2 linked regions of the Caenorhabditis elegans genome follow. The protein of the gene in region 2 purifies or fractionates together with the protein of the main gene of each other region. This does not show direct contact. Each region holds a gene or a part of one and is shown on either strand. Other genes may lie near its edges. The genes, in order: sur-5 and T03F1.11.

The links.
Region 1: the proteins of T03F1.11 (region 2) and sur-5 fractionate together in Caenorhabditis elegans (co-fractionation; one large-scale study listed by BioGRID). This does not show direct contact.

The regions. Positions count from the first base shown.
Region 1 is NC_003284.9:7,300,804-7,307,479, forward strand, and holds sur-5 (Acetoacetyl-CoA synthetase), read right to left. Parts: upstream 4,768-6,676; 5' UTR 4,767-4,767; coding exon 4,547-4,766; intron 4,393-4,546; coding exon 4,289-4,392; intron 4,204-4,288; coding exon 4,083-4,203; intron 4,036-4,082; coding exon 3,712-4,035; intron 3,662-3,711; coding exon 3,510-3,661; intron 3,467-3,509; coding exon 3,282-3,466; intron 2,862-3,281; coding exon 2,695-2,861; intron 2,634-2,694; coding exon 2,533-2,633; intron 2,478-2,532; coding exon 2,342-2,477; intron 1,795-2,341; coding exon 1,485-1,794; intron 1,286-1,484; coding exon 1,129-1,285; intron 1,083-1,128; coding exon 957-1,082; 3' UTR 586-956; downstream 1-585. UniProt on the Caenorhabditis elegans protein: Activates acetoacetate to acetoacetyl-CoA. Negatively regulates let-60 Ras activity during vulval induction.
Region 2 is NC_003279.8:3,851,669-3,854,744, reverse strand, and holds T03F1.11 (EF-hand domain-containing protein), read right to left. Parts: upstream 936-3,076; 5' UTR 893-935; coding exon 880-892; intron 823-879; coding exon 590-822; 3' UTR 512-589; downstream 1-511. Other genes in the region: tfbm-1 (Dimethyladenosine transferase 1, mitochondrial), read left to right, coding at 334-499.

The sequences.
Region 1 (6,676 bases), on a different chromosome or scaffold from region 2:
TTGGTTGGCATACGAATGGTGATGGGCTTCTGCTGGTCGCCTAACCTTTTTATTATGTCTTGCCGCACCAACGCTTATTGAAACACACAAAGATGGACGAAGGGGACAAACCAAGGATGTTACTTGTGATTTTGAAAATCAAGTTTGTTGAAAAGGAGCTCAAAAGTAAACACTCCTTATTCAGAAATTTAGCTTTACCGATTTTCTATGCATTTATTTATCCTAGGTACTTATTTTATCCATGCATTTTTATCTTTGCAAAACTTTAAAAACAATTTTGCAAATGTTAACTATCTCAAAATCACATTAAAATGAAATGTGTAATGAATTACAAGACAACTGAATCTGTTTCAAGCAATTGTTTTCCAATTTGTGTGTTATGTAACATAAAGTGTTCCAAAAGCAAACATAGAATTTTAGAGTCAGAAATGTCCACATTTTACATGGGAACAAACTCTTCTAATTTTATACATTTTAGGCTCGTACCTTTACAATACTTTCTTTTGAAATTTTGAAAATATTTCCTACTATTTCAATGACGGTCTTCATTTTAACGTTTTTGAGGACATGCCCAAAATATCATCTAGTGCAAAATGTTTATTCCTTAATGATAATGAAACCATTAAATTTTCTTCCTCTTTCAAAGTATTTCACAGGGATTTATTTTTTGATGACGACGGAACAGTGAAATCAGAGTTATTTCGTTGGGGAGTGAGAGAGAAACCGGTGCAAATAAAGAAAACCTGGGTGCTAACATAAGGGGAAATATGAATGAATTAACACAAAGTTTTAAATTAGATTTGAAGGTGAGAATGTAAAGGACCACAAAGCTCAAAAATTGATGTTGATGATGACATGAATGAGAAAAACAGGTTCAGGCAATGAGCAAGAAGGAAAGCGTGAATATATAATTTTCAGAAACAGAAACAAATAAACCGTTGAAATAAAATTAAAGATTAAAGTCTGTATTGAACGAAATGATCAAGAGATTCTGGATTGCGAATCGAAGACGCTTTCTGGACGGCCTTTCCACTCACAATTTGCTTAACGGCAACTTCCACTTTCTTTCCGCTTGAAGTATACTGAAAAAACAAAGTTTTTACAAATATCTCAATCGTAAATAGCTACCGGAATATCATCAACTGCGTAAATTTTGTTTGGAACATGTCGCGGGGACATGTCGTTCCGGAGTTTAGAAACAATGGCTGCCTGGATACTGTGTGTGAGCTCTTGACCCGGAACCATTTTCACAAACAGCAAAACTTCCTCGTCCATGCCCTCTTCGCTGGAAAAAAAATGTTCTTATGTTTGTTCTGCCATACTAGAGAATAAAAAATATAAGTTAATTTATCAACGACCTGTTTATTTCTATTTGCAGAATAGAGAAAAGTAATTAAAACTAGCTTAATATAAAGAAGAGAATGAGTAAGTGACATACCTATTAGCAAAATAAAAACTCTAAATATGCATAATGATCAACTTACACAAGTCTTCCAGCTACAATGCAATCAGCAATATGTGGAATTTTTTCAACAACCGAATAAATCTCAGCTGTTCCAATTCGAACTCCGCCGCGATTCAATGTAGCATCACTTCTTCCGAGCATTTCTACACCGCCCGTAGAATGATTCACTCTCACAAAATCACCATGAGCCCAAAATGGTTCTAGGCGAGCAAAGTAGGCATCACGGTACTTCTTGCCATCCGTGTCATTCAAGAAATGTGATGGCATTGAGGGGAATGGGGTGACACACACTAACTCTCCTTGTTCGTCAGAGTTAATGATTTCTTCATCTGCAATTCGGATACTTTTTGGAGAAAAAAGTTGATCTATCTTTCTTCGCAACTTTTCGAAAAATGTTGAAAACTACTTTGAAAGTTATTTATAAACATTATAAAGTATGTATATTTGTTTGCAACACTGCTGTTGTTCGCCTGGGATATGGGCCTGTAATCCCTATTGTCATATGGACCTATTATTCTTATAAAGATCGAACACCTATTCAATCGCCAGGGTTCTGTGCAAAATTTTTAAAAAAAGTGGGCATTAAGAAGTTGCCGCGCTCGGCAATTTTTTCAATTTTTTGCACGTCTTACCGATTTCGGCATTTTTTTTTGATTTTGGAAAATACGATGGAAATACAATTATGCTATTTATTATTCATGGTTTTATTTTTAGAGTTTCAAGAATTTTTGAGATACATCGCAATTTGCCGAGGTCTGCCAATATTGAAAATTTTTCCAGTACCACTTTTTTCATCCCCAGTATTAAATGGTACAATTCTCGACATAACGTTCTAGCTTTTTCCGAATTGTTTTATACATTTCATTTTGCACGTACCCATGTAATTGAATGACTTAATATCCATTCCCAGGAACAAACACTGACACTCTCCTGGCGTGATTGACAATGACTTGATACCACCGACAAAGCATCCAATAATGTCAGTTCCTCCAGAAATCGACGCGATGAGAGCCTATAAAAAAACTTTGTGTTATATTTGGTTGCAAAAGAACAAGATAAGAACATACGCCTGGCGCAATATAAGTGTTGATATAAGCGAAGCACTCTTTCTTCAATGGCGAACCTGTCGAGTAGACTGTGTGTATTTTGGAAAGGTCGTACAATGTGTCTGAAAGTCGTTGATCATATTAACGGTGTTGAATGGAGGAAAATTATATGTATATACTTACTGAATGGAATTTGAAGTCGGAGGTATTCATCATAAAGCTTCGCACCCATTCCAATCATAGTCGATTGTGTCTTTGCAGCGATTTTCATGATAATATGGGTGTCAGGAGCCAATGGGCATTCATCGAATAATACAACAGATCCTTTGGAGTATAGGAACGAGATCATCCTGAAATGTTAAAAATTAAAGTTATATATTTTTGAAATTGTGAATAAGTACAATCTTAGCAATTTGCCGAAAACTCGTGATCAATTTCAGCAGCGCCAATCAAAAAAGTTGCAAAAGTGAACAAAGTTAAAGATGGAACATCCAAGCATTTGCACTAAGAACTACCAAAGGTTACTGAACGGTTGCAAAGTTGCGGCGAATTGCCAAAATGTTTTATTTCTTGAAAGCAACCTGTGAATATTTATTCGGAAATTATTTTTGTCTCTAGAAAAAATCAATATTTTAAAGCTTATCCAACAGTTCATTATTACATAAATACAAAAAAACATTTCAGGGGACAGTTTCTACGGTGTTCTAATATTATTTAAATTGTATTTTCTTGCTGATTAAAATACAATTTTAATTAAAACAAAATCTCACCAATTATACATCATCCATCCACATGTAGTGTAGAAAAACATACGATCGTGTTTCTTTGAATCTCCTTGCACCAAATGCTCCTCAATGTGCTTGAGCAAGGTTCCTCCGACCGTGTGAACCATTGCCTTTGGAATTCCCGTGGTTCCTGAGCTAAACATTACGAAGAGTGGATCGGAAAATGGTACCTAAAAATCCACATGCTTTGAATGTTTCAAATCTTAATCATACTGGAGTATATACAAATGGCAACACAACATCGGCAATGGGAGTCTTGAATTCTTCGAGTGATGAGAACTTGTCACTTTGATTGTACTTTGTTGCATCGAATTTTACAGATGTGAAGGTGTCGGATACAACGATTTTCTCGAGAGTTGGGAGCTCTGGAAGTTATACCATTGTTTTAAATTCTTATTTGACAAAAGTAACCAACCTTTTACAATTTCATTAATTTTATCGGTCTGATCAATGAGCTTCTTCTTGTAAGTCACATGATTCACTGTGAACAAAACCTTGGGGTGAACTTGTCTGAATCTGTCAAGAACACCAGCAGGTCCAAAATCAACAGACGCTGAGCACCAGGCAGCTCCGACAGCGGCTGTGGCAAAAACAGCCACCAGTGTGTCATATGTGTTTGGAACAAAGCCGCAAACAGTGTCTCCGGGTCCGATTCCATAGTTACGAAGAGATGTGGCAATGCGATAAACATCTTTGCGCAAGTTGTCGTAAGTATATTCTGTCACTGTTTCTTCGATACCTTGAATTTTGTTTGATAAATAAACGTTTGGAACATGAAACACTTACTGGCATTCAATACAGCAATATCGGTGGCGGTTCCTCTTTCGATGACATTTTCAGTATAGTTGAGAGTAGCACCATTGAACCATCTCGGTCTCTCGTTGATTTTCAAATTATGATCGATAACCTAAAAATACTTTGTTTGTTTCCGAGCTGTTACACATAAAAAATTAATGTTCCAGGAAGTGGAAACAAGTTTCCCAATACCATACCTGGTTGTAGTTTTGATGAAGCTTCACATCGGACAATTTGAGCAAATCCTCCCAGAAAATACCATAATTATCACAAGTGAATCGGTGAAATTCACGGTAGTCAGCTTAAAAATGTGGATGTTATGAATATTTTGCATTTTTCAAAATCTAGTTGCTCACAGTTTCAGTTAAATATTAAATAGCAGTTATTTGAGGTCGATTTTTCAAATTAATCAAGAGTTAAAATTGAAACCTATGATTTACTAAATAAAAAATTACCAAATTTCTTATTTGTTTTCTCTTCAAAATGATTTCTGAGTGACAATTCAAAAGTTTCCAAATTTTGTGGCGGCTTGTAATAAACTGGCTGAAGTTTCTGAACATGGCTTATTTCATTTCCATTCATTGATCCATTCGTCGTTCCATTTGTCGTTCCATTGGTGTGAGCACCATTTTCGTGCTTTTCGGTAGTTTTTCCGTTTGCAGACACTGCGGTCATTCTGAAAACAAAATGTAAAGTTCAAAGGTTTATCCACAGAAAAAAGCAACACGAAAAAAATCGAAAGGACACAAAACTAGCGATATCACCACTTCTAGGCGTATTTTTGTGAGGTTTATCACACGCTTATCATTATTTGCCAGGCCATTAACTGTGGTGTGATTGCCTACAATCACCAGATATTCAAAACCTTTTCAGTGAAGTTGTAGGAAAAATGAGAGACGAACATCATTGACTAGTGAGCACAACACATTGATCACTGTTCTATGCAAAACAATTAGCAAACGGTTCGTAGAAGGGGACTGCAATTTGGTTTAGTGTAAAACGTTCTACGTATCAACGTGATAAGAACAGTTGAGATATCTCTTGTTATCAGTGAAAATTTGGGACATCGGGACAAAGTAGGTACACAACAATTCGGAGACAAAATTTTCAATGTCAAATGTTGCGTGAGAGATCTCTAATCAAAGAAGATAACATGGCGCTGTAGGACACCGGTGTAATAAAATTGCAAGCCCGCACGTGTTGGATTAAGTTGATTTGATTTTGATTTAACGGCCGGCAAAAAAAGTGTGAAAGATTAAAAAATTATGACGTTTCATTTTTGTTACATCATGCACTTTGCGAATGGAATATGAAAAGAATATATGCGGCGTGACAAAATAGTTTGAAGAAAAACCTATATTATCCTTTTTAACATTACTCTAAAAAGTCTACTGTAAAAGTAGCCATTGACACGTTAGATTCAAAGTTTAGATAATTTCAGACGATAAAAACATGTTTTTGTTGCGTCTTCAATTTCAATTGCCCCCATCTCAATTCCGATACTATTTCAAGTTTTTTTTTTATTTCGATCGTTATACTGTTTTCCAATTGAAGAACAGCGCTCTTTAAAAAAAATAAATGCGCAAAAAAAGAAGAGAAAATAAAAAAGAAATTGAAACTTTGCAAAAAACTTTTAAAACAGATAGAGACAAAGATAGACCGAGACACAGGCATTGAAAGAAATACACAGAGAGCCGACGAGGGACTACACTCTCCACTGCAACGTATGTTTACCGCCTGCGCGTCCGTCGGTCAGCACAGTCTCTGGCCTCCACACTGCACACGTCCACTGAAAAGTGAGATCAACACAAGGGACAAGGAGAAAAAAGGTTTTTTCTATATTTTTCTTTTCCAATAGTCTGCGTTTGTGTGTGTGTTTCGTTGAAAAGGAGCGATGGATAGAAGAAGAGCGTGCCATCACGGAATGGCCTTTGCATTTTCCGATAGCTATTGTTTGATGGTCAAAATGATTTCCAACATTTACAGTTTAAATGTGTAGTTTATAGTTTTTATGAGTGGTTTTATTTCTGGTAAAACTGAAAAAACTTACTAGGGAATGACCAGAATAAGTGGAGCGATATTCAAAAAAAAAATATTGTATCGGAAAGCTGACATTCTCTACTATAAGAATATGACTGAAATTTTGGCCCATTCGGGCTGGAAATCTGAAATTTTTACGTCTGAAATTCTACGTTAACTCTTTTCACTATCCCCAATTAGTACTGCCTGCAACAGCGAGATGGCCGAGTGGATAGAGTGGATGACAAGCATGGTGGGACTCTGGGGTTCAATTCCACCCTAACGTAAAATTTTTCAAAAATTTAAACGTGTTTTTTCGAAACTATATAAAAGCCCAAATTTAATTTTTCTGATCGATATCAGCATGATCAATGTGTCGACCAACACCATAATGATTCATTCAACATCTTTTCCCCTAAAATTTAAACTTTTTTCTCAAAATTGTAACTACAACCATGGATCCCCTCATATAAACAATTTCCATTCAGATTTCCAGCCCGAATGGGCAAAAATTTCAGTCATATTCTTATAGTAGAGAATGTCAGCTTTCCGATACAATTTTTTTT
Region 2 (3,076 bases):
ACATTTTGGTATTTTTCGCCGAAAAAGTACGGTATCAGGTCTTGACACGACATATTTTTGTTTAATGCAAAATAAAACGGAGCAACAAAAGTTTGAAACTACAGTACTCTTTAAAGGCGCACACGATTTGCATCTAATAAAAGTTTTAAACATCGAGAATGATTTCGAAGATATTTAACGATACATTTTCAAGAACTGCAAATTAGAAATTTCTTGAAATAAAAATGCCTTTAATATCTTTAAAAATAGTATATTTCACAATACCAACTAATTAAAAATTGAATTGAAGATTCTGATTCTTTTTAGTTGAAATTCAATAATTTTTCATTTCAGATATCCGGGCTTATTCCTCTATGACTACACGAACAAGCTGCATAATCTGGAAGATTTATCAAAAGAACCCAATGCTCTTCCACCTCCTGTACCCATCTTTGCACCGGCTCCGACAATTGACTCGGCGGACAACACGTGGTCGCTCAAGAATTTTAATTGTTCATAATTTTGTTATATTATAGATTGTTTATTGTTGAGATTGTTTAGATTTGTTATAAATTTTGGAAAGATAAAACATTAAGAAATTGAAAGAATTTTAGGAAGTGACTTTGTTGATGTACTCCTTGAACTCATCGAAAGTGATTTTGGAGTCTCCGTCTTTGTCGGCCTCCTTGATGACTTGAATCAAAAATTTGAGGTTCGTCTTGAACACGGGATCCTTCTTATCGTCCTTCTCAGCTCCCAACAACATGCAGATCACATCATCTTTGCTGATGAATCCAGACATATCCTTGTCGTGGAGAGAAAACATCTCACGGAGTTCATGTTCTGGAAATAATTAGAAAATTTATAGAATTTGGCAACAAAAAAAAAGATAAAGCTCACCCCAAGTAGCCATGACGGAAAGTTCAAGACTGAGCTTCACTCGAAAACCGTTGGAGGCGGGTAGGAGGTGCCGAGTGGGTAAATAAATGGAAAAGCATCTCAGAGAAAAAGAAAAGAGAGAGAATGTTTTGTCAATTGATTGTTTGTTTTACTAATTTGAATTTTCGAAAGTCGTTGTTTGTAAGTGTCAAACATTGACGATTAGCAAATGAAAACAGGACACTTTTTTTTTTGAGAAATTGGGAATTCCTGAATTCAGGCCGAAGAAAAATTGGAATCATGGAGGTTTGATTTTCAGCAGAATTAATCATTTTTAATTTTTTTTTTTCAACTTCCCGATCGTGATCTTGTTTGATCTCCTGAAAACTTATTTTCGAAAGGTGTGATGTCACTCGAATTTTATTATTACGGGAACACTAATCTATGAGAGAGCGTATTGAGCAACATATTTGACGCGCGAAATATCTCGTAGCGAAAACTACAGTACCTCTTTAAATGACTACTGTAGCACTTGTGTCGATTTACGGGCATTTTTTTTATAATTTTTTGATTTATGTCAAAATGGAGCCCGTCAATCGACACCAGCGATACAATAGTCATTTAAAGAATTACTGTAGTTTTCGTTACGAGATATTCTGCTCAATACGCATTCTCAGAACCCTCTGAAGAATTTTCGTTCCCGCAATATAGTAGTTGCCGCCAACATTATGCCTGCCAGCCTGCCTACCGCCTATTTTGTGCAATTTGTCGTGAACTTTGGTTTTTTGGCGTATGAAAGAAATGCGTAGAACACCATGTTGGCAGGGATTTTTGCACAGAAATTTAAAGTTTCTAAAAAATCATTCATCAGTCTTCTGAAATATCGCTTTTAGCCGTTAGACAAATTCGGCGCCTAACAGGTCTCGACGCGACAGAAATTTTAAATTTTAGATGCTACAAAAAAGTATGCGTCTTTAAGGGCATCTTTAAGAAAATTGCACTACTATACATCTTAAAGGCGCACACTTTTTCGCAGCCTCCCTAATTACCTATGTTTCAGTCGTGTCGAGAGCAGAAAAAGTCATGAATCACAAAATCTTATGTGTTTTGGATTATTTGAAAACTTTAGAAGAGGAAATCGCGACATGTTAATTATAATTTTTTCGATCCAAACGTGATATTTCTAATGATTATCAGTGTAACTGTTTAAAAAATCGTCTTTCTCTTGATCTCTAGACAGTCCATCTCTCGCCACTCGACCCGAAACTTGAGGAGCATTCCACGAAAAACGTCCTCTATTTATTTGTTTGGAAACACTCGCGCGTATATCCCGTCCCGAATAGACAGAAATCCTGACAAAAGAGACAAGGAGAGGGGATCAATTGGTTATTAGTGTTGTATTTTTGTAAAAATATATGTACACGAAAAGATAAGTGTTATATATTCAATTTGTAATAAGAATAGAAGAAGCTTTATTAGAAAGCAGAAGAGGATGATAGAATAGTGAGGAATGATCGAATATGATGGATCGATCAAGGAATGTACATGTGGATAATACGTGAAATAATAATAAGAGAGTTCGAGAGTTCACGTGCTTCTTATTGTCGAGTTGTTATCGCCAAGTAGTGCGAACACGTTCACGTCTCGCCGTAACACCTTCCCCCCTTATTGACGAATAGCGATTCCCTTGGGAAGAGGGGTTTCGACCAGAAGCTGTATATCGACTTCCGTTGCGAGTGGAGGCTTGACCGAGCTGTGTGGATGTCGATCCTCGCGGAGTTCCGGTGGAGGTTGAAGGGTGCTCCACAGATGAACCATATCTGTCCGGTACTCGTCGAATTCGCGAACTTCGTCTTACGGAATGGCTTGGGTCGGTGGTCGGGTGAGAACGTGAGGCGTATCCGGGCGCCGAAACGTCGTTGTTGGTTGGAGAGCAGGATCCACGTGGCTGTCCTCTGACTGCATTGCTTTCTTTCTTCTTTAGTTCACTTGTGATTCGGCTTCCACGATTGACATCAGTACTGGAACCGTTCGAAGTAACAACTGGATCATCATTGCGGGACATCTCATCACCGCCACTCTCCCCCACAAAACCAAAAGAATCGGAAGACAATCTAGGATTAACAGACGAGCCTGAAGAATCAAAAAGATTAGTTTCCCCCCTGTGGCCCCGGAACTTGACTTATTGTCTGAACCGCTAGTAAACTTTCCTGGAGTC